Linked DNA regions of Rhinolophus ferrumequinum. The protein of the gene in region 1 purifies or fractionates together with the protein of each later gene. This does not show direct contact. Links are inferred from orthologs where the notes say so. Each region holds a gene or a part of one and is shown in the gene's direction. Other genes may lie near its edges. The genes, in order: EIF4A2, EIF4G3 and EIF3H.

Region 1 (10,680 bases):
ATTCCCTCCAGAAGAAATCAGTTTCTTTCTAGAAATGTTTGATTGAAATCATTATAGATAAAACAACAGGGAGCTCCCTTCCCCACCCCCCCATAGAATGCGCCAAGGAAAGGTCATGTGAGGAGATGTGAGAAAGCTTCCATGTGTCACCCAAGGAGAGAGCTCTCACCAGACACGGACCCCGCTGGCACCTTGATCTTGGATTCCTAGTCTCCAGAACTGTGAGAAATAAATTCCTGAAGTTCCAGCCACCCAGTCTGTGGTCTTTTGTTATGGCAGCCCAAACAGACTAAGACAACATTGTTCTCTGCATAAAACTATACATATATCCATCCATTTTTAACACAAATAGGATCTTACTACACAAATATAATGTTCTTCAATGAGCTTTTCCCATTTACTATACATCTTGAACAGCTTCCCTTACTGGTACATACAGATCTAGTGACCTCGTTGTTTCCACTCTCATTTTATTGTATTAGGATCCAATCCATAATACCATGTTACCTTTAGCAGTTAACTAATTAATTAATTCATTTATTGATAGATATTTGAAATACAACTTTATTCTGATTCTAAACAAAAAGGAATGGGAATGAAAGTAATAAACAAGATTTCACCACTGAATATTGTGTAGCAGTCTTGCACTTGAAACTCAGGAAGGAAACAACTGCGTTCCAAAACAGCTGAATATGCAGGTCCCAAAAATGAGGGTCTTTTCTTTAACTGCCACATTCATTCCAAAGCCCATTCATCTCCTTTGGCATCCCAAAAATTAAGCACATGTTCTGCTTAGCTATTTAATAAAGTGGCAAACAAGCAGCACCACTGACATCACAGGACAGTTGCCTATACCACTAGACTTCTGATGTTGGGCTCCAGCTTCCCTTTCTCACGGGTCATCACCCTCATCTGGGAAAGGAGTTGTCTGAGCAACCTCTAGATCATGCTCACATTGGGCTGCCAAGGCTGAGTCCATGGCAACCTCTGGTGGGGCAAGAACAGGCATGGCAACCAACTCCAAGTTGGGGTCTCCATGAGTTTTCTAGCAAGCCAGAGGAAGGGTTTGTCAGAGTTGTAGTTACTTTTGGCAGAAAGTAACTGAAGATTCTTCTTTTGGTGGAAGATAATTGATTTTGCCTTAACTTTTCTGTCCATAATAGCTACTTTGTTGCCACATAACATGATGGGATGTTTTCACATATTCCTACCAGATCTCTATGCCAGGTAGGCACATTCTTCTAAGTAACTCTCAAAGTTACATCAAACACTTTAATGGCACACTGGGCTTGGATGTAGTAGACATCTTTCCATCCACCAAATTTCTCCTGACCAGCTGTATCCCATACATTAAACTTAATAGGTCCTCTGTTGGTATAGACACACGGATATGAACCTCAAGACCCAAGGTAGCTACATACTTCTCAAATTCACCAGTCAGATGATGTTTCACAAATGTAATTTTCCTAGTCCCATTATCACCAACCAATACAAATTTGAACTGAACTTGGGGTTCTTCTTGGGTAGGCATTATCTCTGGGCCTCTCTGACTAAGAGCTGGAAAGATTGTGGAAGCACCTCTATTTTTTAATTAAACTTTTAATTTTTGAGATAATTGTAGATCACATACAGTTGTAAGATCAGACATGTACTCTTTCCCATTTCCCCCAATGGTAAGTAACATCTTAGAAAACTACAATACATCACAACCAGGATATTGACAGTGATATCGTCAAAATATGAACATTTCCCTCACCACAAGGATGTCTCTTATTCACCTTTTATAGCCACACTCACTTCTGTACTGCCCCACCCCCTCCTTAAACCCTGGCAACCACTAACCAGCTCTCCATTTCTATAATTTTGTCTTCTCAAGAATATTATATAAATGAAATCATGTAGTATGTAACCGTTTGAGATTGTTTTGTTTTTTCCCCACTCAGCATAATAGTCTAAAGATTCATCCAGGTTGTGTGTGTATCAATAAACGGATCCTTCCTTTTTATTACTTAGTATTCCATGGTATAGATATAATCACAGCTTAACCATTCACCCATTGAAAGACATGTGAATTTTTCCAGCTTTTGGCGATTGTAAATAAAGCTGCTATGTCCATTCATGCACAAATCTTTGTGTGAGCATACGTCTTCATTTCTCATATGCCCAGGAGTGAATGCCCAGGAGTGAAACTGTTACATCATATTGTAGTTGCACATTTAGTTTTTTGTTAAGAAACTGCCAAACTGATCCTAGAGTGGCTGTACCATTTTATATTCCCACTAACAATGTATGACTGATGTAGTTTCTCGGCATCCTTGCTGGAATTTGGTGTTGTCACTATTTTTTATTTTAGCCATTCCAGTAGATGTATAGTGATATCTCACTGTGGTTTTTATTTGCATTTCTCAAATGGCTCATAATGCTAAACATCTTCTCATGTGCTTATTTGTCATCTGTAAATCATCTTCAGTGAAACGTCTTTTCATGTCTTTTGCTCATGTTCTAATAGGATTGTTTGGTTTTTACGAAAGGAGAATATCTTTGTTTTTAGGATGCAGTGCTGAATTACTTTATTAGGAATAAAATGACACTACTATGTCTGTGACTTTCAGAAAGTTAAAAAAAAGTCATAGATAAATATAAGAGAGAGAGTAAATGTATTAAACCGTTAACAGTTGGTAAGTGTAACAAGTACTTGGTATCCACTGCTTTATTCTTGCAACTTTTCTTTAAGTTTAGAATTTTTCAAAGTAAAAAGCTGGCTCCACCTCAGATCAGATCTCCTGAATCTGGGTGGGAGTGCAGAGTCCACATGTATCTGCCTTTCAAATACATCTCCCCTTTGATTTTTATGCATACCAGTTATAGATGTACTGAATTGAAGTACAGTAATGTATTTTTATTTTAGTCTTTATAAGGGTAAAGCTAGAAAAACGTCTAATCATATCTTGGTTACACAATAGAGTTTAATAATCTTGAATTAATGGATTTAAACTCAGTCTTTACATAGCTCAAGTCCTTTCCATGGTCCTCTTCAATTTTCTCCATTTTCTTCAACTCTATTAAAATCTTTACCTATTTTTATGTAAATGGCTTTAAAAGTTATTGTAAAGCACATGACACTGAGTGTCACCCTCCAAATTGCTTCAGTGGACACTGCCTACATTCAAGCACAATCTAGCCTCTAATTTCCTCCAGCAACTGAAAGAGATGAGTAGTACTACTGTCTTTATCCGGCTCAAGGCAGTTCTTTTTAAACATTTAAATTATAGATGGAGGGACAGCATGTATTATACTAGGTGTTTGCTAAATAATAAATGACATTAATAAGTAATAAATGAGTTGAAGATCCAAAACACATACCTTAACAAACTTTTGCATATCAAAAGCTTATCAAGACACTGCTTTAAATGTACAGCTATCACTTCAAATCAATTGATGGACTTGAAATAATGTGAGAACCTCAAGATGGCACACAACACTCCCTGAATGATGAAAATACATGGTATTTTCTATAGAAAGATGTCACTAACAACATAAAGCATACTCTTAAAGGTTTTGTTATTGTTTTTCCATGTCATACTGACAAATTTGTACTAATTCCTTGATTCATTTGGTGACAATTGGCTTACAATTGCTAGATGGGTTTAGGACTGTCAGCTGATGATACTGAAGAGCAAATCTAAACTAGGGGGGCTCACATAAGGAAGGAATCTGATTTTTAGCATCATTTGAAATATAAATGGCCTCCAGACTCCAGGTTAGCACCAAAGCATTTGTGGTTGTCTCCGAGAAGGCTATCTAATTTCAGATCTCAGTTAAGTAGAAAAATTTATCTCAACGGTACAAGAGTATGCTCTAAATTGATTTGCAAAACTTGTGTATGTTTTAAGTCTTTAACTCATTTATTACTTAATGCTATTTAGTAAGCAAATACAAATGTGGTGAGCACACCATTCATTAGAAATACATTGTAGGGTTGCAGGCTCTGGATTTTGACTGAATTTTAAATTATGAAACTTTCTTTCCTTAAAACAACTTGAACCACTGTGACCTAAACCAGAGATTAGCCTTCGATTATTTCCTCTTAAGAGACTCTGGAAATCCTCCACAGCTTGCAATGGTAGTGCTAAACCTAAAACACTCAACCATGAGGTATTAATTGATTTCACCCTATGACTGAGTGATTTCACCCTAAAGACTTAAGTGAGACTAAATGGTTGGTCACTTTCCTGATTTAGTATTTTCTCCACTTTGTTAGATCCCAGAAGATTTTTCAGTAGGTTTTACATGAGACAATAAGGATCTCTGACTTCCTTTCCTAGAAAATGTCTGGCATTACCTCAAATCTGCATTTCAGCATTACAGGGGGATGGATAGCATCACTAGACTGACAGCCAAGTCCACTTTGTGATCATGGTATTAGTTTCTGTCACAGTTCCTGGCACGATAATAATTTTCAAATAAATAAATTAATGATTTAAAAAATACATGTGGTATTTATAACCAAATATATCAAATATGATATACAAATGTAGAAAATTAAGCGTCAGTTTTTACAGTTATCAGACTTTTGGTTGGTCTTCCGAATTAATGAGAAAATGTTTTCCTGAATATTTGTGATGATATCTTGCAGCATGTGTAGGATTGTATTTTAAAGTTAAATGACTAAATACTAAATACATTTTTTTTTTTTTTTTTTTTTACCAACAGGCCTCGGTTAGAGCTACAGTTGAAAACTTCAAGGAGCTTAAAGAATCAGGCAGTTTATTCAAGCAGCAAGGGTTGTGTTGCTCTCATCTTCAGCAAATCAATATTCATAATGTATAAGCAATTAAATTCAATTTGTTTAGTTTTTTTAATGACCAGAGTCAAAACCTATCTAGTCCCAAAGCAGCAAGGAGCTGTATCTGTCAGAAGCATCCATTTAAATTCTTGCGTTACAAGGAAAAGTAATCCTCCTTAGCTATTATATGTTTGCAAAAGTTTACAATGACTTTATCAGGTATTCCTCACACCTGTTAAAATTATTAGCATTATTTTAAAGAGCGAGAGAAGACTAGAAGCAACGTGAGAATCGAATTGTCTACTCCAGAGACATTTGCAAATGACACACGGTTTTTCTCGCCCTGCACAATACAGGGTAAACCCGGTTTTCTGGGACGTGCTAGGTGGCCGACATTTTCCCTAGCAAGAGTTTCACACTTTTACAATCGGAACGGATGTTAAACGCTCGGGCTCAAAGCCAAGCGGCTCTTTACCGTCTGACTAAATAACCTTTCCCCGCAGCTATTTAATCGGGCGGAAAAACCCGATCTCCCTCTAGAGCAGAACGTGGAGGTGCCTGCCTCTCCGCACCAAGCGCCAGCGGCGAAAAATGAGCCCGGGCCCTCCTGCCCCCGGGGACGCCCGGGCCAGCCAGAGTGCAGCGCGCCTCGGGCTTCCGCCTCCCGGTCCTGCCCGGCTCCCCGGGGCCGCCTCTGCTTCAGGGACGCGGAAACCCCGTAGGAGCAGGGAGGGAGGGGAACGCGGGTCGGCGCCGCTTGCTGCAATATTCTTCCGCCGCCAAGCAAAGAGTCCCATCCTTCTCCTACGGTCCTGGGATTCCCAGCGTCCCTGTAATATCTTGACATAACCAACTTGGATTTTCCCACCGACCTTCTGAGGACACTTTCTGAGGTAAGGACACCAGGGCCACAATTTTGTGGCTAATGAAGAACGACGAGAAAATTCCTCCGCAGAAAACGGGTTCCGGCCACGAGCCTATAAAAAACGGGTGGGGCGGTCTGACTGTCTTTTCAGTCGGGCGCTGAGTGGTTTTTCGGAACATGTCTGGTGGCTCCGCGGATTATAACAGGTACAGGGCATTTTCGTTGGTGCTGTTTTGTGGTGAAGGTCAAATGGCGCCAGAGGAAATTGTAGTAGCTGGCGTGGAGTCAGGGAACGCCGGGTTCATAGGCATTTCCTTGGGGTAAGGTACCCCTGTGTCCTTCGAGAAGCTTCCATGATGGGTAGAGCCCCTGAGCGAGGGGACACGAGATAAGGGTACGAAAATGGAGTGGTTGAAGGGTGTCTTTTTTTCCTGAAGATCCTTTTAGATCTCGGCTGCTTCCCCTGCCCGTACGGAGCCCGACACTTAGTTAAAGCCGTGGCGCAGTCCGCATTCGGTACAGTGTAACCGGGGCCCAAAGCTTTATTTGCAGCGAACCGCGCGATTGAAATGTTAGACTGAAGGTGGGGTGCGGGGAGGGTGACAGCGGCGCCCACTCGCCGCGGCCAAAAGGCGCGCTGGGACCAGACCAGCAACGGGGTCTCGGCGAGCCGTTGGCATGGCCTTCGCCAGGCCTCGGCCCGCGTCAATCACCCCGGCTTGCGCAGTGTTAGGGGCGGAGCTCAGCGCGTGGACCTCTCGCGAGACGGCCCGCCGCCGAGACGGCAGCACCTGGCGCAAGGGCTTGGGGGAAAGCCAGTGTCCGTGGGGCCTTGCCGTCCGTCCTGCGTTCTCAACCTTTGGGCAGGTGCACAGTAAATTATGTGCCCTGTGCCACCAGCTTCCATTGCTTTTTTAGTAGGAAATGCACACGTGCAGGAGGAGGGTAACCTGATAGACTGGTTGTAAAGGGCTATCCCCTCATGTGCAGTTAGGATGGCTTGTTAATCTAACTGCAGTGTTCTTTGCAGAGAACATGGCGGCCCAGAGGGAATGGACCCCGATGGTGTCATCGAGGTAAGAAATTGTGTGTGGATTTTGAAATTCTGGAAAGGTGAGTTTGTTCATACTATTTATTTTTACTTATTTTTAATTTATAGAGCAACTGGAATGAAATTGTTGATAACTTTGACGATATGAATTTAAAGGAGTCTCTTCTTCGGGGCATCTATGCTTATGGTTTTGAGAAGCCTTCAGCTATTCAGCAGAGAGCTATTATTCCTTGTATTAAAGGTAAAAGAACTCGGCAGTTTAAAAAAAATTCATTGTTTTACATAGACCTGCACCATAAAAGGGAAAATAACTTCTGGGGGTCTAGCACCTATTTGTATTCCTTAAAGTGAAATGATGGCAATCATCTTTCGGGACTGACCTGAAATGAAGAGAATACTCATTGCTGATCACTTAATTATTTGGGCATAATTCATGTTCCAAATGGAATACATGGTGTGAACTAGAATTGACTTTTTGATGTGGGATCGGTAAATATGTATCCTACTTTTTTTAGGGTATGATGTGATTGCTCAAGCTCAGTCAGGTACTGGCAAGACAGCCACATTTGCTATTTCCATCCTGCAACAGTTGGAGATTGAGTTCAAGGAGACCCAAGCACTAGTATTGGCCCCCACCAGAGAACTGGCTCAACAGGTATTGATAGTGTAGTTCAAAAAAACTGCTTGCGTGTTGCATAGGTTCAAGTTTCACAACTGAAAAATTTAAAGCTTAGTATAAATTGGTCCTATCAGAGCCCTCTTAACTGTCCGTGCATGCAGGGAGTTTTTGTTGAAAGTAAATAGGAACTGGGTGTGCAGGTATGGTTCACAGGGTTATAATGGAGAAACCAAAGCTTTCTGTTTAGGGTGGACTAGATTCCTATTTTTTTGAATGCAGTTGTGCAACATGAAAACTGCAGTGACATGTTATCACTTGACTGTCTCAGTTTGTGATGCATCTGGTGCACGATGTTTTCAAAGCTCACTGCTATCTATATTGGCTTTGAAGGAAACCTCGCTAATAAAGCTAGGCTTTGTTAAAGTCAAGATTATATGTTACTGCCCTGTGGGAAAAGTATCTTGTCTAGGTTGTAATTGCAGAGCTTGATCCCACTATTTACACCTTCCTACACAATGAAGAGTAACGAAGGAAATGTTTTTAGTTATAAATCTAGCTGGTACCTGGGGCAACAGGATCCTAAGTTTGACAAGGTACAAGAAGTATTTTAAGGGAATTTTACCTTGAAGCAGTTAGATCAGTCTGCATATTAAGCTTGGAAGTAGTTAAGTGTGTTGCATGCATAAAAGCTGTTTGCAGACCAGATATTTGCCATTATGCTTTAAAAGTTTAATCACAGCCTGTAATTCTGCTGGAAAATAATTAAGGCTCTTTGCTTTTAGATCCAAAAGGTAATCCTGGCACTTGGAGACTACATGGGAGCAACTTGTCATGCCTGCATTGGTGGAACCAATGTTAGAAATGAAATGCAAAAACTGCAGGCTGAAGCACCACATATTGTTGTTGGCACACCAGGGAGAGTGTTTGATATGTTAAACAGAAGATATCTTTGTAAGTACTGTCTATTGAGAGCGTACATTTTTTTTGCTATTATAAATAAACACAAATAGTATCCCTGAGAATCTAGAAGTGATAGTATGACTTTGTTTTTGACAGCTCCAAAATGGATCAAAATGTTTGTTTTGGATGAAGCAGATGAAATGTTGAGCCGAGGGTTTAAGGATCAAATCTATGAGATTTTCCAAAAATTAAATACAAGTATTCAGGTGAGCTTTACCTTTCACCCATATCTGGAGATTGTTTAATGCAGGTATTGTTACAATACAACTGAAGTGTTTTATTGTCGTTCCCCCTGCTTACAGCAATTGATGCAAAACTATCTCTGTCTAGCACAATTCCATAGCAAGACAGAGACGCTTGGTCTCAAACATGTTTTCTTGAATATTTTGAAAGTTGGGCTACTTGTGTGACAACATCATTGTCTTTTTAAGGTGGTGTTGCTTTCTGCTACAATGCCAACTGATGTATTGGAAGTGACCAAAAAATTCATGAGAGATCCAATTCGAATTCTGGTGAAAAAGGAAGAATTGACTCTTGAAGGAATCAAACAGTTTTACATTAACGTTGAAAGAGAGGTAATGTGTCTAATTAAACATAAAAATGTAGCCACTTTTTTTTACCTTCTTGTATAAGCACTGTGCTAAAATTGCAGAAACTGGGATCACATCTTGGTTTTTGCAATAATGCTAGCAGAGTACACACAAGAAGAAAAGTAACTGCACTAGATTGTAAAGACTGGGGTGGACCTCTTTCTTAATGTCCAGTGTCCTTTGTCTCAAGATTTGGTGCAATATGTCTAGACCGACTTAACTGAATTTCTAATGGCTGTAAGTTGGAAATTAAATTGTTTTAATGATTAACTTTTTCTTTGAAATATTATAGGAGTGGAAATTGGATACACTTTGTGACTTGTACGAGACACTGACGATCACACAGGCTGTTATTTTTCTCAATACAAGGCGCAAGGTGGACTGGCTCACTGAGAAAATGCATGCCAGGGACTTCACGGTTTCCGCTCTGGTAAGAGGTGTTCTAACCTAGTAATGGTAATTACAATGTGTATATTTTCATTAAAGCAGGATTTAGACTACAATATAGCTGTTAAGTGCTGTGTTGTCGTTCCCCCTGCTCAAAAAAAAGTTGTTTCTTAACTATACCTGTCTGTTAAACTCCTGTAGCAGCCAGGGACGCTTGGTCTCATACATTTCAGTAAAGTTAAGTAATACTGATTTGACTAGTGATTCTGGAATTAAGGTTTGTTAATTTGCAGCATGGTGACATGGACCAGAAGGAAAGAGATGTTATCATGAGAGAATTTCGATCAGGGTCAAGTCGTGTTCTGATCACCACTGACTTGTTGGTAAGTCTCTTAACTGCTGTTTCTTAATCCTACCAAAAGCTTTTCTGGGGGGAAGGTTTTTCAATAACCTTTACCAACTTGGACTGTTTGGGAGAATAAAGAAAAGACCACGCTCCACAGTGGACTATATCACTAAACATATAGTTCACTACTAATTTGTGGCCTACATTAGAGATCTCTAGTTATTTAATTAAATTTAAACATACCGTTGTATTTCAGGCTCGTGGGATTGATGTGCAACAAGTGTCATTGGTTATAAACTATGATCTACCTACCAATCGTGAAAATTACATTCACAGGTGAGTAGGTGGCACCTTGACTTACTGTATTGGTAAAACAAGTTCATGTGTTGCCTTTTCATTCTGTTGACTGATTTGTCTGAAACGTTACCTCAATTCAGGGAATTCGTTCAGTAGGTAGACAATAAACTTGGTAGGATGTAATTAAAATTGTACTTGGGAAGATTGGTCATGTACAGTGGGAAAACGGTTGTAAATATTGCCCAAATTGTGGGCTTTCATACATACGGATTAGATTGCTTTAGAGCTGTTGGTCTTAGCATATTTTTGAGCTTTATTTTTAGTGATGCTCTTGTGTGTCCATGTGCTTTCTTGGTGATTTCCTTTATAGTTGGGATTTTCTTGGTGTCGTCTGGTAGCAATTTGAGCAGTCCCTGGTTTAGTTATAGTGGCTTTATCCCTAAATAAATTGAATTGTACTTTGTTATGTGATGTAAAAAAAGACTTTTTAAAAAATACAGGAGTCGATAGCCGCAGTTGATGACGAGATGGCACTCAGAAACGGCGTTGACGTAATTTAGGACGTGGAATCATAAGCGAAACAGCACACTGTTTGAATAAAGAGCGAGTCGGTATTTATATTTGTTTTTCTTTTGTCATGATTATTTGATATTTTAAGTTGCTCCGGCCAAGGCATTTTTGTATATTATAGCCTATTAGGTGGTTTGTATTGTCTGGTTTCTATGAGGAAGGTAGAAAGTTGTTTTGGAGGTAAACACGTTTGAGTAATTTGAGTTACA
Region 2 (10,348 bases), on another chromosome or scaffold:
ACAAATATTTATTTGGCACTCCAATAAGTGTTTTCTTTTTCAACATCACCAAGGAATTCTCAGACACCTGCTGGGTGTCCTACAATTTAACTCAATTCTGACACTGTCTACCTGAAGATAGCATCAGATCCCACAGGTTAAGGGCTCAATCCTACAAGACTACCTTCTCCTCTTCAGTTGTAATTCCACGTTGTCACCTGTGCTGGCTAGAGATCAGAGGTTCCCACAACCCCCTTCTTGGATTCTATTTATTTGCTAGAGAGGCTCACAGAACTCAGAAAAGCATTTTACTTACTAGATCACCAGTTTATTATAGCAGGATATAACGCAGGAGCAGCCAGATGGAAGAGATACACAGAGCAAGGCATGGGGAGAGGGGTGCAGAGCTTCCATGCTTTCTCCCAGGGCACCATTTTCCCCAGTATTTCCATGTTCACCAACCAGGAAGCTCTGAGAACAGTGTCCTTTTGGGTTTTTATCAAGGCTTCATTACGTAGGGATGACTAATCATTGGCCACTGATATTTGAACTCAATCTCTAGCCTCTCTTCCCTTCCTTCCCCTAAGTCAAGGTCAGTGGGTTCCCCTGGCAACCCCCACTCCTAGGTGACCTAAGGGCTTATTAACATAAGACACGTTTACTCCAACTGAGAACGGAAGAACAGCCGAGGGTTCTGAGCACAGAAGTTACATGATCTTAACTTTTTGATGTAAAATAATTATGGGGAGTATTGAACTTGTAGGTCCAGTTACCTATCTCTCTTCCCCATTATATGTGCTCTCATAGTCCTTTCTAGGGGCCCAACCCAGTGTCTGGCACATAGCTGTCTCTCAATAAATGCTTGTTTAATGATTTCTGAAGCCTGGCTGTCACTCCAGAAGGACGCACTCAGGGGGAGGAATGGGCAAGGCTTGAAATGGGAAAAGACCAGGGCGTGGCATCCTACTTCTTAATGAGAAGATGGTATCAGATAGAGAATCACCTTGGCTTAGCAGTGAAGGGAGAGCATGAGTTTCAGTCCTGGTTCTGCCGTTCACTTGCTTGAAATAGGAAAGAAGGAACCTGGTTCTGCTGTTCACTTGAACTTGAAATAGGAAAGAAGGAACCCTTTCCTATTTCTGGGTTCTAGCCTTAAACCTGGGTGAGTTAATCCCTAAGGCATCTTCAATCCTGACTAGAATCCATTACAATATTTTTTAAAAATTGTGGTAAAATACAAATAACATAAAACTCATCATCTTAACAATTGTATGATAATATTTTTTGCTTCCTCTTGCCTCCTGGTGAAGCTGAATTCTCTGTAGCCATCAGGCCTGGTGGGGGCTGTGGTCACCTCCAGGAATAGCTGAGAAATGGAAGGTCCCTCTCACTGTGGGCAAAAGGCTGGGATCACCTGGTCTAGAAGTGACAGTCACAGCGAATTAGAGAAGCTACAACTCTGCCCTGGAGGGAATGGGGAAGCAATTAAGCTTTGTTGCGGGGCTTACTATGTCCTAGGCCTCTAGGCCCCGGAAGTACTCTCTACAGAGATGCTCTCTACAGAGAGCCCCTTTTAAGTCTTGCTTTAATCCTTTAGAGGCAGACCTCCTGCTTTCATTTTGCAAATGGCTCAAAGTTAGGAAACTTGTTTAAGGTTGATCAGCTAGTCTGTAAGGTTAGAATCCAGATCTGTCCTAAAGTTTATAAACTTTGAAAGGAACCAGCACCCTCACGTCCAAAAGGCGGAAACAACTCAAATGGGGTCTGTGAGCTGGCGCAGCTCTTTACTGAAGAGCATTAGTGGCTGATTACAATCATGCTTCCAGTATAGGGAAGGGGGCAAAATATTTCTTTACTTTTTCCACTTGGGCTTCTCTCCTCCTAGCCATATCCACTTCAGATGGGTGCCCTGCAGTCTCTCCTTCTTTGGTTTTTCTAACGTTTCCTTTTTATTTTTTTTAACCCTCTTCGTCTTCCACGTCTGTGTCTTAACTGCCTAGAGTCTAGATCTTGGGCCACTAAGGCCTTGGGGGATGTTGGCTTGTCTCAGAGTGGAGGACCTAATAATATATAAACCCTCTGTGGCTATTAGAGACGGCTTCTGTTGGCATAGCAAGGGTTGTCTTTATGCTAGAATGCCAGTCCCCTCTCCCCCTACCTCCAACCAGGAGGAAAAATGAAGGGGGCAGAGCACTCCAGCTTGTAACAATATTTTCAAAAGTTCAAATTAAAGAAATTCAGGGGTCCCCCGACTCAATCTCCAGTTCAGAGAAACAGAGCTGTGACCCCACGTGATCACAGATAAGCAAAGCACCGTCACCCAGCCTTGAGGAGATGTATAAACCAAGTCTCCACTTGTCTGCGGCTCTTCGAATGAAGAGGGAGAGGTATATTTATTTGGGGGTTAGGGAATGTAGGTCTCTGCTGGAGGCAGCCTGGTGGGCTCTGGGAACAGTGGATGGCTGGTTAAAGATATTGCACTCCTCTGTGGGCTAGCATGGCCTGCTCCAGGATACTCTCGCCCTTCTTTCTTCTTGCACAGTGAGGCCCAAGACTTCTCCAAGGTAACATGAAATCCTTTGGCAAGTCACAATGATTCTGTCCTTCAGCAAGTTTCACATCCTATTAATTGACTGCTAGATATCAGGGATATATTAGTTGACTAAGTAATGTTCCCCTGTAAATGAATAATAGCTAAAACGTATACAATAATTACTATGAGCCAGGGACAGGGCTAAGCGCTTTGCATTTGTTGTCTTAATTCTCATGCTAGGAGGTAGAGTCTCCATTTTACAGATGAAGAAACTGAAGCTTGGAGAGTTAAGTGATTTCGCCAAGGTCATACAACTAATAAATGTCAGGGCTGAGAATCAAACTCAGGTAATTTGATTCCAATGGCTGTGCTCTGACTCGTTAAATACTGAGAGTGCCCTGAGAGCTAAGCACCCACTGCCAAGGGAGCTTAGAGGAGAGGTACCTCGTTCAGCCTGGGGAGTGGGGAAAGGCTGTCTGGAGGAAGTGAGGTCTGAGCCAAACAGGAGCAGGAATTATTAGCCAATGGGCAAAGGGGAGAGAGGATAGTTTGGGGTTACAGGTAGTAGGAGCAGTCTGCAGACAGACCCTAGGGCAAAAAGGACCAAGGTAGCTGCAGCTGTGGATTTGAGGTGGAGAGTGACAGTAAGGAAGCAGAGGCCAGATTCTGAAGAATCTTGAATTTAGACTGGATCCTGTTGGCATGGAGGCTGTCAGCTGGCAAGTTCACAAAATCAGCTCTGCTTGTTGACTGTGCCTCTGGCCACAGTGGGGAGGTTGCTTTGTTGAAGGCACATGGCAAACCAGACCTGGAGTCAGATGCCTTGGGTTTGAATACTAGTGTTTCTACTTAAAAGTATTACACAAGTTACTTCTTTACATTGTTGAGCCTCAGTGTCTTTATTTGTAAATGGGATATAGTAATACCTGAAAAGTTGTTGAGGGGAATGAGTTAATCCAAACAAAACGTTTAGCAGAGTTGTACACTGGCAAATAAGTAGGGGTGCAATACATCTGAGCTGCTCTGTATGAGAGGGGTGGTGTTGAGCAGGGCCAGGAAAGAAAAGAGCTCTGCCTTTTCGACTTTGCTCCCTATGAGCCACCCTTGATTGCTTCTAGCCAGAATCTTATCAGGGACTTTTACAGGATTTTGCCCAAGGCCTATCCGTTTTAAGAGAGATAATGCTCATAAAGTGCTTAGCAAAGAAAGACCAGGCACACAGTAATTGCCAGATGCTTGTACCTATTATTAAGTTAGAAAGTGAAACTAGCTCAGAAAATAACAATTAAGCAATTATCAGTCTGTTGTCACCCTAGTGTAAATGAGAAGCCAAATTCTTTTCTGGGAACAGGTTTTATTTGGGATAAGGAAGTCTGAGATCCCAGAACATGCAAGGAGAATCCTGGGAACTGAAGGACCACTTGGGACTTTTTCCTGGAGCTGGTCAGAGAAGAGCAGCAAATCCAATCCTAAATCATCAGGTGTTACAAATCCAAAGGGTTTGAGGAGTTCCTGTCTTCTAGTCTGGAGATGGGGGACAAGGCTTCCTGTGGATACCGTGCCTGAAAGATGCGGTGGGGGGTTGTGGTATCACTCTCTTCCAGATGGCTCCTTTCTCCCCGAGGGAGGAGCATTCGGGGCTCAGTTAGGAGAGATTTAATTAATTAAGCACCCACTGTGTGTAGAGCTTTATGTGAATTAAAAAATAAAAATAAAAAAGGAAGTCAGTGTGAAGCAGGAGTCAGAACTGGACTCTAATTTTGTGTCCGCCAACTATACTCTCCACATGACCCTGGGAAGGTCTCCTGTGCCTTTGGGCTTTGCTGTTAAACGATGGCATTGAGCCTCGGTATCTTCATTTGTAAAATGGGTACTAGCTATTTCACAGAACTGTGTGCGATAATGAATACGGAGTGCTCAGTGCCTGGTGACCACCATCACCTGATTCCTCCCTGCGGTTCCTTTCCACTCAATGGTCCTGTGCCAGGGACAGGGCCCATGCTGGGGGAGGGTCGGGGGGGCGAGGGTGTGGGAGGGTCTTGGTTGGTCCCTTGGTTGGGGAGAAAAGGAGCTTATCCACAAGTGTTACCCTGGCATAGGACACTGGGGAGCTGACCACTGGCTGCTGGTCAAAGTACGCTTCAGTCTTGGGGTCAGTCCTTGGAAGACTGCATCCACAGAACGCTCAGTCAAGGTTGCTGATTAGATAAGGCGGGTCGGATCAGGTCCCAGGCAACTTGGGAGGCGGCAAGGTTCATCCAGATGAAGGGAGAATTCAGATGCAGGCTTGGCTCTGTCCTTTCCTGGCTGGGTGACCTTGGGCCAGTCACTTTTCCTCTCCCAATCTGTGTGCTGGGGAAATGGCACTCCTCATTTCACTTACCTCTCAGATTGTACCAGGATGAAATGTCGACATAATGGACGTGGTGAACTGCGAATAAAGGCCAGTGAGGGCTATTTGTTATGCTAATAGGCGCACACTGTCAGTTTCTATCCAGCGGTTTCACTCTGGTTAGGCGGTTCCTTCCACAGTAACCGAGGTTCCTCGCCTAACAGCTCCCGCCCCTGCGGGCAGGGCTCTGCGGACCGCAGGCTCCTGGGCCGTTACCATTGTTCTTCGGGGCTGGGCAGCAGGGGAGGACTCTCGCAGACCAGACCTTGCTTTTGGTCTCTCCCTCCGCCCCGCACCCCCGCGGCAGCGAGCCTCGGAAGCCCCCTAGCCGATCTTTTCCGAGGAAGCGAGTCAGCCCCAGAGCGCTCCCGAACGGCGGCCGAAGACGCCCCCGAGTGTTTCCGAAGAATCCCGACCACTCTCAGTCTCCGGAAAGAGCCGAAGGGGCTTCCCACCCTCGGCCTCCCGAGCCACTCCGAAAAGGCCCGAAGTTTGCCGAGCGGCCGTCCTGCCGGACTGCTGGAGGCGGCCGCAGCGCCATGTTGGATGCTCTGCTCGTTGAGTGAAGAAAATCCGCCGGCATCGCCTGAGCCCCGCTACCGAGAAGGGCGCCGCTTCCCCCGGGGAGGGGGATAAAGACCCCCCGCCGCCGGCCCATGAGGATATTGCCGTGAAAGGTCCGGTCTCTCCGCCTCCTGCCCCCGCCGGGTCCGGCCCCCCCCCCGGGGTCGCGTTGTCACGGAGACCGGCAGCCGGTGGTGCTGGCCCGCGGGGCGGCTGCTGCTGCCGGCGGCGGCGGCGGCGGCGGCGGCGGCGGCGGCGGCGGCGGCGGGCGTGTGTGACCGGCCCCGGCCCCCTCCTCCTCCTCCTCCCAGCCTCCCCCCGACCCCCCGCTCCCGCCGCCTCCCCGGGTCTGCCCCCATCCCGCCCCCCCGCCGCCCCCGGCCCCTGCACCCCGGCGCGCCCGGTCCCGCTCTGGGGGGGTTGGTGGCTTCGCTTTGCCATGAGTTTACCGCAGAAACCGGCTCTGAAATCAGGCTCAGCGGCTGCAGCAGGAACCGGACCCGGCACAGGAGCGGCGGCGGCGGCGGCGGCGGCAGCGGTACCGCCTCCTCACCCGGCGGCGGCAGCGGCGGCGGCGGTAGCGGCCCCTCCTCACCCGAACATCAGGGCCCTCCAGACCCAGGCGCCCCAACAGTATCCTTTTCACGTACTGCCGGCCCTTCGGCTCTTCGCGGCAGAGCAGGGGGGCTGTGGCCCCGCCGGGGACTCGACTGCTGGCTGCCACAGCCCAGCCGGGCAAAGGGCTGCTCCTCAAGCCCGGCCGGAGCTTTTGGGGTGCCCCGGCGGCGGCACTGCGGGGCTTCCCGGGACCCTCTGCAGTACGATGAAAACTAGCTCCACTCGGCCTCGCCTCTGCAGCCCTTCCCTTTTAGAGCTGGGGGACCCTTCCTCCTTCTCACCTCTCCGCCCTCTAGCCCCCCCCAGCCCCCCTTTTATTAGGCAAATTTACTGCCTGGGGCCTGGGACCGACCCTGCGGGGAAGGTTTTCCTCGGATTGTTGTAAGGACTACACCCTCCCCGTCTCCCTTCAGCACCTCCTGCAACGGGGCATGGCGGGCCCCTAAGTAGTATTAATACATAATAAACTTGATTGGTAAATTTCCTGTTTGAAACTAATCAGCTCGTTTCGGAGGTAAGTTGGATTTTCAGTCTGCGGGGAGAAGGGACAGAAATCACTCCCTCCGGCTAATATTTTGTAGCGGTTGGGGGAGTTGTGATGTGGTTTGTGGTGGAACGCGATCTAAGGAGGAAATGTTACACCGGACGCTTCCCTGTCTTTGACCTTTTTAAAGGAAGAGGAAGTTAACTGACATTACCCATCACCCCCAAAAGTCTCGCTTCTTGAAAGGCTTGTGTTATGGTCAATATTTTTAAGAGCTTTAATGTACTCTTCATAGGCCCGATGTCTAGAAGGGACCAGGGATCCTGGAGTAAAGTCTAGTATGGCCTGTATCTAATTTCATGTTATTTGCTCGATTGTAGAGTGTTTGGACAGCTTTGATTGAAAAGATTTGGTAAGGAGGTAGTTCAGTCCAAAACTAGCGGGTGAAAGTGAAACTTGGAGTTCATCGTGAATTCCAGGGAGATTTAGAAAGGTGTTTACCTACCTGAGAAGAACATTTCATCATGCTCCCCCCCCACCCCCCACCCCCTCCCCCGCCATCCGCTGTATTTGTGTAAATCAATATATCGTTGGATGTTAGATGTGTTGTGTTTTTGTATTTGTGTCATCGTGTGTTTGACTTTTAGAGTGAGGATGTTTGAGCAAATAAACTTAACTGCTGTGAGTTCCACAGATTATTTCCCAGTGTGGTTTGATTCTTGTCTGTATCGATTACTTTCAGAAGGGAATGGCATCACCCTTCTAGAGTCATTTCAGGTCATCCTTTTGGTTTCTATCAAGTGTCCTTTTCTCTTGTTCTTTAAATACTGTGAGTCCACATTTTTGTCAGTCCAGGCAGTGTGGCTCAGAGTAAAGATAAATTCCATTCCAGTGTGATGTGTGTACTGATTTCACAATGTTTTTACCCTGCATGATTCTGTTCAGTTAAGAATTGTTCACTGATGAGAATGCTTAGTGATAACTTACTGTTACTTTTGATCAGTATTCCTGTTGTTTTCCTGTTGGGGGGGGAAACGGCCTACATCGTGGTGGAGTTTAGTGCTGCATTTCTTAAACATATCTTCACTTAATGCTTTGTGAGTTTAAATTCCTTTCTAATTTGCCTTTTTATTTGTCTTGATTACCCATACTTAGTTAGGGCTGTAAATTTCTAGACAGTGCTCTCAAGTAAATTATTCTTTAGCCGCATCTTTGAGTTGTTTGGGCAATTAAACAAATGAAAGGAAGCCTATAGTATGTGTTCTTGATGTACAAAGTGAGAAGGGCCATGATGCTGAATATGACAGTGCTTGGTGAATTTGGTGGTGCTCTTTGGACACAGAGCTGTGTTTCAAGTATGCTTTTTCTCCATGCATTTCACAAAGGAAGGGCTCATAAAAGCTCTGAGTTGGTGCAACAGAAAAATTGTGACTGCAAAAGTTAAAGAGGATAAATTTAAGATGTAACTTCCAACGGAGATAATTTTTAAAGCTATCTGTGGTAATATATGACACTTGGTTTTATGTGACTCTTAAGTTTTTACTTTGCCTCAGGTCATGGAAGCTAAAATTAATTTTCTTCTTGAGGTATTTCACAACCCTGTTATCTTCTGTTTGCTTTACACACTGAAAGGTTACGATGGCTAAAATCTAAATGTTTGTATAGTAAATGAAATACAGTTTACAGAGTTCATTAGAACATACTAGAGCGGTGAAATATTATCAATGGTAATAGGCATTTTGGTTAAACGTGGATTAAAACAGAGCAATTTTGTGTACCCAGAGGGAGTGTGAGAGTTTGTATTTGATGACAGCAGTCATCGTGTAATAGGTTGATATACATTGAAGCATTGAGACGAGTACAGAGTTGGAGTTGCTCTTTCTGTGGCTTAATTAAATCTCCATTTGTGCTTGAATTGAATCAGTAAGTTCAGATAGTATTTTAAATTTGTACACATACTAGAAGGGGATTCACGTGACAAGGTGTCCTTTATTTGTACTTAATGTTCAAGTGACAAATCAGAAATGAAGGGAGATGGTAGCGATAATGACTTTGCATATAAACTGCTTAAGTGGCATCAGTATCGCATGGCAGGCCCATAAGGCCATTCTGGTAGAAGCCTTTGACTGCAAAGAGGCAAAGGATGGGGGGGGGCGGTGAAAGAAGGAAAACACTGATATGAAAAGTGCTAATGGCAAGGGAGAAATACGCTTAGAGTTTTCATAGCATGATCCAATATGAATAGTTCATGAAACTGGTCCTTCAGAATACTTGCCTTGAGATATGCTCACCCTAGCTTCCCAACGTGAGATTCCAAGAGGCTCTGTTGAGAATGTTAAGAGTGATTCTTAACCTTTTCTGGGTAACAAACACTTTGACATTTTGATGAAAGCTTATAGACCCTCTCTGCAGAAAACTCTCCCTGCACAGAAAATCTTGCGTACATTTTCAGGGGGTTTTTGCACCCCCACTCCATAAACAGCCTAACCTTTTAGATGGAAATTGCTTACCCTTCAGATAAGTAAAGATTAATGAGTTTGAATTTAGGTGCCCAAATAGTTCTGACTTAATAGAACAATTTTGCAGTCTGTTATGAATACACAGTGTTCTCTCTATTTATATGGAAAGACTTCAGGGTGTAATTTCTCTCAGGGCTGCTGACACTTCTGGGGAGTCTAGTTACTGTTTTGGGGCAGCCAGTTTGATTAAGAAAATCAGGGCAGTGGGTTCTTTGAAGGAACTAAATTTGGTGAAGGCCTGTAGTGACCTAAAAATGATCTGTGTCCTCAGTTATTTTGTTTTAGGTATGGATATATTAAAAACAAATACTCCCCCCTTTTTTTTGTATGATAATTTTCTTTTTTATGTTTTCTGTGTTGATTTTCAGTTTTATCTTATTGGCTGAAGCCAAGTAATGTTTGCTTTCTTCTTTTTTGTCTGTTTACCGAAGCTAAATCTGAATATTAATAGTAGTATCCATTTAACGAGCACCTATTGTTCTAGAAGCCATACATGTGTGATTTTATTTAATTCTCACATGAACCCTAATGAGGCAGGTACTACATATATTTTATAGATGAGGAAACTGAAGTGCAGAGAAGTAATGTTCCCAAGGTTGTCCATCTAGTAAGTGGTGGTCTGCAGTTCAGACCTTGATACGACTGGCTCCAAAGCCCATGACTGTTCTTTTTACTGTGCCATGCTGTACCGTACCAAGGCTGCACGTGGGAATGGGAGGAAGGGTACTTTGCCTATTTGATAGCTAGGGGAAGGTCTGTATACAGCTAAGGAGCTCTGTGGAGTAATCTAGAATGCAGTGATACTATACCTTGTTTTAATTAGTTCATGGCCACATACCGCTAGGCAAGTACGTTATCTTTACCGCATTGAGCCTTAAAGCACAGGAATAGGTCTGCCTCGTTTGGTTAGTGCATGTTTCTGCTTGTTTAGAAGTTCAGGCCTTCAGCAAAATACCATTATAACTACCAACTAGACCTTTGTAGCTCATGTAGCGACCAGCAGTCTGTCTACTCCTAAGCTCCACCATCAACAATGATGGATCTGCACTCCTAGGAGCAGGTCCTCTTCTAGGAAAGAGAGGGCACCAATGTAAGATGGAGAGAAAGAAGGAAGAAAGTTGATTCAGGTGCCTGAGTCACATTGACTCTTGCCACTGCTACTGCTACTTCCTCTCCTAGGCTATGCGTCTTAAGGTGAGGTGTTTTCTGTCCAACAGAATTTAAACTGTGTTTCTTGTCCATGTTGGGTTTCTGATAAG
Region 3 (11,025 bases), on another chromosome or scaffold:
TAAAAATTTTGACATTTTGTATTTTTATATTAGCTCAGTTCAGTGTGTGCGTATGTTTGTGTGTGTTTAAATTGCCTTTAAGACTTCCTCTTTGAACCATGGTTTATTAGAAGTATGTTGTTTAGTTTCCAAATATTTGGAAATTTTCTTGTTACCTTTACATTTTGACTTTTAGTTTGAATCTATTGTGGTTGGAGAACATATTCTGAAAGACTTCCATTCTCTTAAATTTGATGAGATTTGTTGATGGCTCAAGATATGAACTATACATTCTATGAGATTTAAAAAGAATGTGTTGGTTGGAATGTTTTATAAATGTTGATTAGATCCTACTGATTGATGTTGTTGCTTAGTTCCTTTATATCCTTGCTGGTTTTCTTTCTAGTTGTTCTATCTAGTTGTTGTTGAGAGAGAGGAATTGACGCCTCCAATTATGATGACTGTGGATTTGTTTATTTGTCCTTTGAGTTCTATGAATTTGTCTTCGCGTAAGTTTAGCTTTTTAGCTGGGGCATACACATTTAGAATTGCGAGGTATTTTTGGTGATTGACCATCATATCATTTTAAAATGTCTCTCTCTGTTTGTGGTGATTTTTCATTGCTCTGAATTCTCCTTTATCTGATACTAATAATGCCCACTCCTGCTTTCTTTTGATTAACGTTTGCATATAATTTTCCATCATTTTACTTTCAATATCATTGTATTTGAAGTGAGTTTCTTTTAGACAGCCTATGGTTAAGTCTGAATTTATCCATTCTATCAATAGTTGTCTTTTAGTTGGCATATTTAGAACATTTATATTGACCTAATTATTAATATGTTTAGGCTTAAGACTGCTATTTTTTTCTATTTATTTTTATTCCTGTTTTCTTTTTATTGCATTCTTGTGGCTATTGAATAATTTTTTTTAAATTTCATATTGATTTATCTGGGATATTTTTGAGTGTATCCCTTTGTAAAGCTTTTTAGTGGTTTCCTAGGTATTATATTAGATTTGAATAACTTATTACAGTTAAGTCATTTTACCAGTTAAAATGTAGAAATTTTACCTTCCTGTCCCTTAACCAGCCTCTTTTAATAATGTAATTGTCTTAAATATTTCCTCTACATACATTTAGAACTATACTAGATACTTATAATTTTTGCTTTAACCCTAACCTCCTTTAGGAAATTCAAAAGGAGGAGGAAAGTCTATTGTAATTATCCATATTTTTGTTTATTGTGAATTTTCTTCCTCAATGATGTTCCAAGGTTCCTTCTTTTATTGGTTCTTTTCTTTTTAGAAAACTTCTTTCAGTCATTCTTTTAGGGCAGGTCTGCTAGTGCAAATTCTCTTAGTTTTTCTTCATCCAAAAATGTTTTCATTTCCTTTTTATTCTTTAACAATATTTTCGTTGAATACAGGTTTCTGGGTTGAGAGTTCTTTTTATTTTAGCAGTTTAAAAATATTATGCAACTTCCTTCTGGTCTCGTGGTTTCTGATGAGAAATCCACTTTCATTCTAGTTGATTTTCTCCCATAAGTAAGGTGTTGTTTCTTTCTGGTTGCTTTCAAAAGTTTTTCTTTGGTTTTCAGAAGCCTGACTCTGATATGTCTTGGTGTGATGTATCCTGCTTGGAGTTCACTCAAGCTTCTTCAATCTGTAGGTTATGACTTTCTCCCTAGTATTTGAGAAATTTGCAGTTATCATTTCTTCAAATACCTTTAACCCATGCTCTCTTTCTTTTCTCTTCGTGAGACTTCCATGCCAGGACAGCTACAGTTTTTTCTTATAGTTCCACAGTTCCCTAAGACTCTGTGGATTTTTTTTTCAATCCTCCCCTTTTTTTTTATTGTGGTAAAGTAACATAAATTTTAACATTTAAAACCTTTTTAAGTGCACAATTCAGTACCATTACATGCATTCACATTATTGTGCAACAATTCCCACTTTCCCATCATCCGAAATTGAAACTCTACACCCATTAAACAATAACTCCTTATTTCTCCCTCTTCCCAGGTCCTAGTAACCATTATTCTACTTTCTTTCTCTACCAATTTGACTATTGTAGATACCTCATATAAATTGAATCACACAATATTTGTTGTTTAGTGTTTGGCTTATTTCATTTAGCAAAATGTTTTCAAGTTTCATCCATGTTGTAGCATGTATCAGACTCTTGTTTCTTTTTAAGGCTGAATAATAGTCCATTGTATGTATACATTGTATTTGGTTTATTCATTCATCTGTTAAAGGACATTGAGTTGTTTCCTCCTTTTGGCTATTATATGCAATGCTGCTATGAACATTGGTATACAAATACCTGTTTGAGTCCTTGCTTTCAATGCTTTTGGGTACATACCTAGACATGAGTTGCTGGATCATTTGGTAATTCTAAGTTTAATATTTCGAGGAACTGCCATACTCTTTCCCACAGTGGCTATATCATTTTCTATTCTATTACTCTTTGTACAGGCTGGGTAATTTTTATGTTCCATCTCCAATCCACTGATTTTTTTACTCTGTCCTTTCCATTTTGCTGTTAAGCCCATCCACTGAGTTAAAAAAATAAAATAAATATAAAATAAAAATAAAACATTTTAGTTACTGTATTTTTTTAAGTTCTAAATTTCCATTTGGTTCCTGTTTATATTTCCTATATCTTGGCTGAGACTTTCAATTTCCTTGCTGAAATTTCATTTCAAGTATGTTTGTAATTGTATGGTGGCTGCTTTAAAATATTTTCAGACAATTCTAACATCTCTATCATTTCAGTGTTGGCATCTATTGATTGTTTTTTTTCATTCAGTTTGAAATCTTCCTGATAGACTTTTGTGTATTCTGTTCAGGAACTTTGGATTTTGAGCCCTTCTATTTTAGCTGGCTTCCTCTGACACAGCTCTGGCAATGGAAGGAGGGAGTTCTTCCTGTTACTGCCCTATGAGGGAGCAAATAGAAGTTCCTTGTTCAGCCTCCATTGACTCCCTCAGGTGCAAGAATAGTTTCCCGTTACTGGTGGGAGATAGGAGTTCCAGCTCGCAGTAGGCCTCCACCAATACCTTCTGGATGGAAGGGGTAGGAGTGCCTTCTTACTGCTCTCCACGCTTCCTTCATGGGGTGGGTGGCCTCCTTACTGCTGTGGTAAAATCCTGACTCTCCACTAGGCCTTCTCTGACATCATTCCATTGGGGGGATGAAGTTGCTGTTTCATTGCTGTCTGGTGAGGGTGAACGTTCAAACTCCTTACGTGGTCTCCACTGACAGTGCACACAGCGAACAGACTTTGGCTGGGGGTTTTGTTTTTGTTTGTGCCTCTTGATGTTTCCATGTTGCTGGACTTCAGCTCCAAGTATGGGATGTATGTGGCAAATAGGAACCCTGGGAAATCACCACTGTGTTGTTCTTTGGGTCCCAACATCCCCAGCCAGTCTTCCTTCGTCCCTCCACCTTGCAGAGTCTTCTTATTTTTCTTTTATATGCAATGTCCAGGGATGTAGACGTATCTACTTACTGGGAGGAGTAGGAAAAAATAGCTTTTCTTCTTCCCACAGAAAAAGTCTAGATTTTGCATACATTTTAAGATTGAGCCTACTGGAGTTTCTGATGGATGGGGTGAGGTGGGTAGGTGGGTGGGTGGTTGAGAGAAACAGAGGAGTGAAAGATGACCCCAAGAGTCCTGGTCTTATCAACTAGAAGAATAAAGCTGTCATTAAAAGAGAGGGGAGAAGACTGGGTGAAGAACATTTCTTTTTGTCGGCAGTATTTGGAGCTCAATTTTGGAAAGGTTAAGTCGGAAGTGCCTATTAGACATTTAACTGGGAATGTTGAATAAGCAGATGGAGATGCTGGTGCGGAGTTCAGTGGAGAGGTCTGAGGAAATATAAATTTGGGAATCATCAGCATATGCATGAAGTTTAGAGCCTTGAGAGTGGATGAGATCACCATGATGGGGAATAAAGATAAGGGAACAAAGATGTATAAGGACTGAAATCTGGTGCTGTTCAATATTTAAAGGCTGGGAAAGAGTAGAGAAATCAGCAGTTGGTGATTGAGAAAGGAACAGCCAGTGAGATAGGAAGGAAACCAGGAAACCAAGTGAAGGAAGTGACATTGCTTCTAGCCCTTTCCAGTTAGGGTGATCATATTGATTTTCTATTTCAAATTCTACTTCATGGGTCTTCTTCTCTCTTCCTTCCTCTGTCCCTCCCTCTCTCTGTTCAGATGTTCCTGGACTGACTTGTGATGGGGTTACTTCCGAATAAACCCATTGTAAGTTGAAAATATCTTAAACCGAACATGCATTTAATACACGTCACCTACCTAACATAGCTTAGTCTAGCCTATCTTAAGTGTGCTCAATAGCCAAATATCCAAAAGATGTTGGCAACACCGTACATCGTAGAGTATTGGTTGTTTACCATCGTGATCATAAACTTGACTGGGAGGTGCATCTTGCCACACTGCACAGCTTCATAAGAAAGCATCATACTGCATATCATTAGCCCAGGAAAAGGTCAAAATTCAAAATTTGAAGTATGCTTTCTACTGAATGTGTATCACATTTGCACTATTATAAAGTCAAAAAACATAAGTCAAACCATTGTGAGGTGGGGACCATCTGTATTTGTACCTCTTGGCTCTGGACTATTTCAAGCAGAAGGCCCACATGCACTTTTTTGGGTCAGGTTAAAAGAACCTATAGTGTGATTAGCACACATGACTGGAAAATCTTAGTGGGATATTTCCAAGGACAAAAATATTGCAAAGAAACTTTAAACTTTACTTACCAGTTTTATTGTTAGTGGTAATATTGGCGTTCTAATTTTGAAACAAAACTGTTATATACGCTGTAGGATAAAACAATAATTATTGTTTGTAAATAACCTGCTTTTTTGGTGCTCATCACTCCGGCTGCCAAATGATAGGCACTAATTTCCAGTTCTGGTTCTTCCATGATGGATTTTCTTCGTTTTTCTTCTTTTTGACTATCTTTCTTTTACTGATTCTAGTGTGATTCTACTATAATCAACCTTCAACACTTCAAAATTTGTTGAGATGGTCCCTGTGACCCAGGTTGTGGTCTGTTTTGATAAAAATTTCATGAGCACTTGAAAAGAATGGATATTAACTTTTTGCTTTGTAGCATTAGGAATTTTTGTCAGGTGTAACTGTTCCTGTTTTCAGATTGTAATATAACACCAGACCCTCACAATAAAAAATCTTCAGGGCAAGAAATAGCCTTCATTGGTATAACCACTTCATCGGTTCTGCCTAGGTATTTATTGAATGAGTAAACATTTCAAAAATAAGGACTAGGCACTGTATTTGGAAGTGGAGAATGTTTTAAATTCATCTAAGATGGTTTTCTAAAACTGTCAAATTACTCTCTTAAAGACTTGAGATGTGTATTTCAAACTGTGTTAGATAAGTCAGCATGATTTTTAGAAAATATGTTCCACATCACCACTTCACATAAAACAACTTCTTGGTACTTATGTACATCCTACATGAAACTAATAGCAGCAAAGGGCTATTAGTTCTGGTAATTGTGATCAAAGTTTCTGTTTTAATTAATTTTTATATAATCTACGTAGAGACCGCTATCTAAAATTACATAAGACAAACTGCAATACCGCTTAGGGCTAATTAACAGAATGATGTTGGATAAATCGAGTCTCACTTTCCTAATAAGTGTAATGGGAGTTAATACAGTTCATGGTTTATAAGATTGGGAATGGGGATTAATCAAAAAATTAGAAGTGAAAGCATTTTTACGCATGAGACCTTATATAAATGTGATCTATAATGCTATTATGATCAGTTGCCAACATGAAGTGGAAAACATTTTTAAAAGTCTACTTTCTTCTTACAGGACTCTAAGGGGAAGCCGCAAGCGCACAATGCGCGTGTGCAAAGGACTCTGTTGTGGGGAAAGAGGTGAGGCTGGCAAAGATGGGAGGCGGGGCCCTACGCCAGCTCTTTCTCCCAGCTCCGCCCCTCGAACGCCAGACTGCGCACGACGTCACGAATCGCTTGTACTTCCGCTTCCGATTACTCACGTTTCTCTCTCTTCCTGTCCGGCTGGAAAGATGGCGTCCCGCAAGGAAGGCACCGGCTCTGCTACCACCTCTTCCAGCTCCACTGCCGGCGCGGCAGGGAAGGGCAAAAGCAAAGGCGGGTCCGGAGATTCGGCCGTGAAGCAAGTGCAGATAGATGGCTTGGTGAGTGGGGTTCCGTCTCCTCCGGCCCACGTGGGAGCATAGTTCCCACGCCAGTCCCGCCTGAAGCGCTCCCCGGCAGCTTCTCCTCTAGGCTCGGTGAGGCTGGGCCAAAGTTGTCCGCTGAAACCCTCGTTTTTCATCTTCACTTTTGATCGGGAGACGCCACAGCCTTCTGTGCCATCTGACGGGGAAATAGAGGGAACAAGGCGAAGGGGGTGTGTGTGTGACAGATTCTTGGGGTCTTCTTTTGTGATGCTTGGCAGAGGGGATTTGGAGAAAGACGTCTCTGGAAGACGAGTAGGTGACGGAACTGTCGAGAAGGAACTAGGACTCTAGGGCTTTGGGGAGGGCAGAGGAAGGTAAACGAATGCTTCCCTGCTGGAGTATGACATCTGTAACTTCCCAAGGGGAGATTGACTTTGTAGTCACGTTTGAGCCTATCGTTCAGAGCTTTACCTGAAACAGCATAATTGGAGTAAACATCTGTTATGTTGGTTTCTTCTTTCCCCATCTGTGAATGTTGGAGTGCCTCAGGATTTGGGTTTAAGCCTCCTTCTATCTGGTCTCTGCTGGACATACCGTAACCAAGGACTGTAGTTAAAAGCACACCTCTGGAGCCACACTGCTTGGGTTTGAATCCCACCTCTAATTAGCTGAGTGACATTGGGCAAGTTAATGTCTTTATGCCTCATTTTCCTCATCCGAGTTGTTTTGAGGATTAAAATTGGCTGAACGTGTCAATAACTAGCACGATGTCTGGGACATAGTAGGTTTCCACTTCCGCTTAGCTGCTGCTGGTTTTTGTCGTAGTTATAGTAGTAGACTCTCTTTAAGGACCCTCCTGGTGGCTTTCCGTATTTATATTCTGAATTTATATTTCTTACCAGATTTGGTTGTTGAATGCCACTCTTGAATACCCAACTGCCTGCTTGACATCACTATTTGGATATCTTATAGGCTCCTCAAATTTAACGTGTCCGAAATAGAATTATTGACTTCTTCCCCTCACTCGTCTCTCCCGTTCATTGGTCCTACCTCAGTCTCTCCCACCTTAATAAATAGAACTACCATCTACCCATTTGAATAAGTCAGAAAACCTAGGCATTCACCTGCATTTATTCTTTTTTTTTACCCTCAACATCCAGTCTCAGCAAATCCTTGGGGTTTCACCTTCAAAATACATCAGAGTCGTCTGCTTCTCATCTGTGTGCCACCAACCATATCCACTTAAAAAATAAAATACAGACTTCTTGCCACAGTCTTCAAGGTCCTGCTACTCCTGTCTCTTTCTCCACACTCACCTCATACTTTCTAGGCTCCAGTCACAATGACCTTTCAGTTCTTTGTTTTCTCTGTCTGAAATAGTCTCTCAAATATTCCTTCCCTCTTGGTGGCTTCCTTTGATGCTGTAGGTCTCAGCTCAAATAACACCATCTCAAGAAAGGCTTTGCCTGACAACCTTGTTAGAAGTAGCCTCCCCCCGTCACTCTCCATCACACCGCCCTGTATTTCTTTCATTGCATTGTCCACTGTCTGTAATTGTCCTGTGTGTCTCCCCCACCAGAATGAGAGCTACTGAGGGCAGGCAGAGACTATGCTTTTGTTACCTGTAATTCCCAATACTGAGCCTGTTCACTGACATAGATAGGATAAATGAATGAATAAAAGATTACATTTTATTTTTGTACTGCTATTAGTTTATGTCCTGATGCTTTTCTTTGATCAATTATTTTAATGGTACCTTGGATTGTTGTCTTAGCCCTCTTCAGTCCATCCTTCATACTTTTATTAAAACATTGACTTAATGTGAAAGTTCACATCTTACTAACTTCCTTCCTGAAATGTTTTCAGTGATTTTGCATTGAGTTCAAGGCCCACCAAGATGTTGTCCTCCTTTTTGTGTTTAGGTTTATTTCCTAGTTTTTCCAGGCTTCCTAGGAACTGTGCATTCTAGCCACACACAACTATTTGGTAGACCTAATGTTTAACCTCATTTGTTCCTGGCACCTTGATAGTGGCCAAGACCAATTTTTCTTGTATTCTTGAACCTTTCCTACCTTTGGTCTTGTGTCATCATTTCCTCTATCTTTAGTATTACCTTTGTCAGGACTTTCCTATATTAAAATGTTCAACTCTGTCTCTTTTCTTGGCACTCTCTGTTCCATTCTTAATCCCCACTTTTTTTCCTCTTGAAGTCAGTGGTTACAAATCGTCTATATTGGTCGTCTTCCATTGTTTCTTTAATTCACTGCTATTAGAATCTGCCACCACCTATTTCCTAACTTAGTTTTTGAAAAGATCATTCATAACATTAGCAAAGTGTAAAAAAAAAAAGTCAAAAATATATCATTCATGCAAAGTAGTGTCTATAATACATAACTTCAATAATCACAATATAGCCAGTCACCTGCCATTTAGTTTGAGAAATAGAACATTACAAATATCTTTGAAGCCCCTTTCCCTGTTTCATCCTTTCCTCCCATCCCTTCTCCCCACCCTATTACTCTTCTGAGCTTTGTTTCAGTGGTTTCTTGGTTTTCTTTATAGCTTTACCAGTGTATTCCTAAACAACTTGTCTAGGTTTGCCTATTTATATTAATAAATATGAATTAAATCATAGTATGTTCTCCTGTGTCTTGAGTAATATGTATACATATACAGTAGTACTTCGGTTTTCGAACGTCTCCGTTGATGAACCTTTCGGTTTACGAACGCTGTAAATCTGGAAGTAAATGCTTCGGTTTTCTTGGAAGTCGAACATGTTACACAGCTTCCGCTGAGTGCAAGATCCCAAGGCCTAGCTGTCGGCTGTTTTCAAACATTTCTGAACTTGAACGGTCTTCCAGAATGGATTACGTTCGAAAACCGAGGTACCACTGTATCACACCATGGTTGAGATTGGTCCATTTTAGAGTGAGTAGTTGTAATTTATTTTCATTACAATATAGCATTTCATTGCATGAATATGTGTAATTTTCTTCATCTGACTGTTAATGGACAATTACATGGCTGTTTTCCTTGTGTGAAATTGTATCTCACAATCGTAACTAGTCCATTCTATTAGACTTGTCAGTGTGTCTTCTGCACCCTGTGCAGAGTCAGTGCCCAGTATATCCTTATAGAATGGAGGAGTGGATCTTCATTGTATGTAGTCAAATGGTCTCATCGTTCCTAGACAAGATCAAGCTAATTCTTCCTGTTGAACTTTTCATGTAAAGCCCGCTTTATTCCCTGAAACCAGTTTGACTCTTACGTTTCTTATTATACTTTTGATACTCAAAGTATGGTCCATGGACCAGTAAGACAAGCAGAATTGGCCTCCCTTGGTATCTTGTTAGAACCGTGGAAATACAGTGTCTCAGAATTCCAACCTGCTGTATCACATGATTTATAGCATATCATGTTAGAGAAGTACAGCTCTGCTCCACATTGATCTCTCCTTTCTCTGAACTTTTTATGATGACGTTTTGTATTGTTCATCTTGGCCTGTGATCATATACTGTTAATTAACACTTTACTGTTTATGTAGTTTTTCTCACTGAGGTGATCTGAAGGCTAAAGTGTAAAACATTTCTGCCTTCCAAAGTTCCACTGCTTAAAACCCATGGCCATCAAAATCTACTACTTTTACATTTTCTTTTCCCTTTATGTAAGAAAGTTACCTCCTCGTTTACAATTGTTAGCTACCTGATTTCTCCTTTATTCGAAGTAAGGTAGAGAGTGCTATTAATAAATGAAAAGGTCAGAGTTACATACACTTTTTTGTTATTCAGGTGTCCGCTCAGATGTCACCTCACAGGTACCTTCTGACTAATCTAAAGGGGCCCCATCAGTTCACTGACCCTTATATCATCTTGTTGGGCCCTTGATACTGTCTGAAGTTCTCTTGTTGTTGCTTGTTTGTGTTCTCACACTTAAATATCTACTATCCGAGAGGACCAATCAATATCAGGTTTGTTCACTTCAGTATTTGCAAGTGCCTAGAACAGTGACTGACACATGGAAAGCACTCATACTGTGAATGAATTATTATAATACAGTCCTGTGGTACAGAAATTTTCTTGAAAATGAATCATGAGGAAACATGGTTAGTAAAATGCTTTGTAGAAATTTATATAGTCTGTTGGTGAGAAAGGAGCACAGGAGTGAGGCTAGAAGACCAGTTAGATTCACATTTCTTCAGCCTTTTAGGTGTCAGTGTCTTATCTGTAGAAAAATCACTAGTGTTAATTGAACATCTACTATTGAGAAGATCCTGTGCAGGACGGTTTGGTTAGATTATGTCTGATCCTCACACCAGCTTTGAGGGTAGATTTATCTCTGCCCTACTTGCCTGATGATTATTTAGATGTAGTAATGAGAAAATGTTGGTGGAAGTGCTTTGTGAACTGAAAAGAATATTCAAATTTGTAAAGTGCTTATACTGGGCCATAACATGTATGACTATATATATATTTTTTGTGACACAATATGAAGTTAAAAGAGACTAGATAATAGTTTGTTAAACTCTATGAAATGGAAGCTCTCGTCTGAAATCCTAGTTTCAAGTGGAATATAGTTTGGCCTTTTATTTTAATATTTTAACAAAAAAATTGTATGACTCTTGGCTTCTTTCATTTTTCTGACTTCTTTGGAGAATCAGTTGCTTCACATGTGTGAATAGTTCAGCCAGATAACTTTAAATTCAAGCATGCAAAACTTTTACATTTCAGTCATTTTAATTATAAATCTTCCTGAAGTGTGTTTATTACATCAATTTCTGCCTCTTTAGTCAGAGAATATTGAACACAATTTAACCATGTTTTGATGACTTAGTATTATT

The links.
Region 2: the proteins of EIF4A2 (region 1) and EIF4G3 purify together in Homo sapiens (affinity purification with mass spectrometry; 3 studies listed by BioGRID and IntAct, with this or other methods). This does not show direct contact. The link is inferred for Rhinolophus ferrumequinum from reciprocal best matches to the Homo sapiens genes EIF4A2 and EIF4G3.
Region 3: the proteins of EIF4A2 (region 1) and EIF3H purify together in Homo sapiens (affinity purification with mass spectrometry; 3 studies listed by BioGRID and IntAct, with this or other methods). This does not show direct contact. The link is inferred for Rhinolophus ferrumequinum from reciprocal best matches to the Homo sapiens genes EIF4A2 and EIF3H.

What each region holds. Positions count from the first base shown.
Region 1 is NC_046285.1:58,771,970-58,782,649, reverse strand, and holds the start of EIF4A2 (eukaryotic initiation factor 4A-II), read left to right. Parts: upstream 1-5,801; 5' UTR 5,802-5,828; coding exon 5,829-5,857; intron 5,858-6,669; coding exon 6,670-6,727; intron 6,728-6,810; coding exon 6,811-6,943; intron 6,944-7,047; exon of another isoform or gene 7,048-7,116; intron 7,117-7,217; coding exon 7,218-7,357; intron 7,358-8,103; coding exon 8,104-8,272; intron 8,273-8,377; coding exon 8,378-8,487; intron 8,488-8,525; exon of another isoform or gene 8,526-8,652; intron 8,653-8,712; coding exon 8,713-8,856; intron 8,857-8,899; exon of another isoform or gene 8,900-9,077; intron 9,078-9,163; coding exon 9,164-9,301; intron 9,302-9,354; exon of another isoform or gene 9,355-9,486; intron 9,487-9,551; coding exon 9,552-9,641; intron 9,642-9,670; exon of another isoform or gene 9,671-9,811; intron 9,812-9,860; coding exon 9,861-9,940; intron 9,941-10,401; exon of another isoform or gene 10,402-10,512; intron 10,513-10,680. UniProt on the Homo sapiens protein: ATP-dependent RNA helicase which is a subunit of the eIF4F complex involved in cap recognition and is required for mRNA binding to ribosome.
Region 2 is NC_046292.1:14,333,833-14,344,180, reverse strand, and holds the start of EIF4G3 (eukaryotic translation initiation factor 4 gamma 3), read left to right. Parts: upstream 1-5,798; 5' UTR 5,799-5,907; coding exon 5,908-6,101; intron 6,102-10,348. UniProt on the Homo sapiens protein: Component of the protein complex eIF4F, which is involved in the recognition of the mRNA cap, ATP-dependent unwinding of 5'-terminal secondary structure and recruitment of mRNA to the ribosome. Functional homolog of EIF4G1.
Region 3 is NC_046297.1:55,674,817-55,685,841, reverse strand, and holds the start of EIF3H (eukaryotic translation initiation factor 3 subunit H), read left to right. Parts: upstream 1-6,036; 5' UTR 6,037-6,071; coding exon 6,072-6,203; intron 6,204-11,025.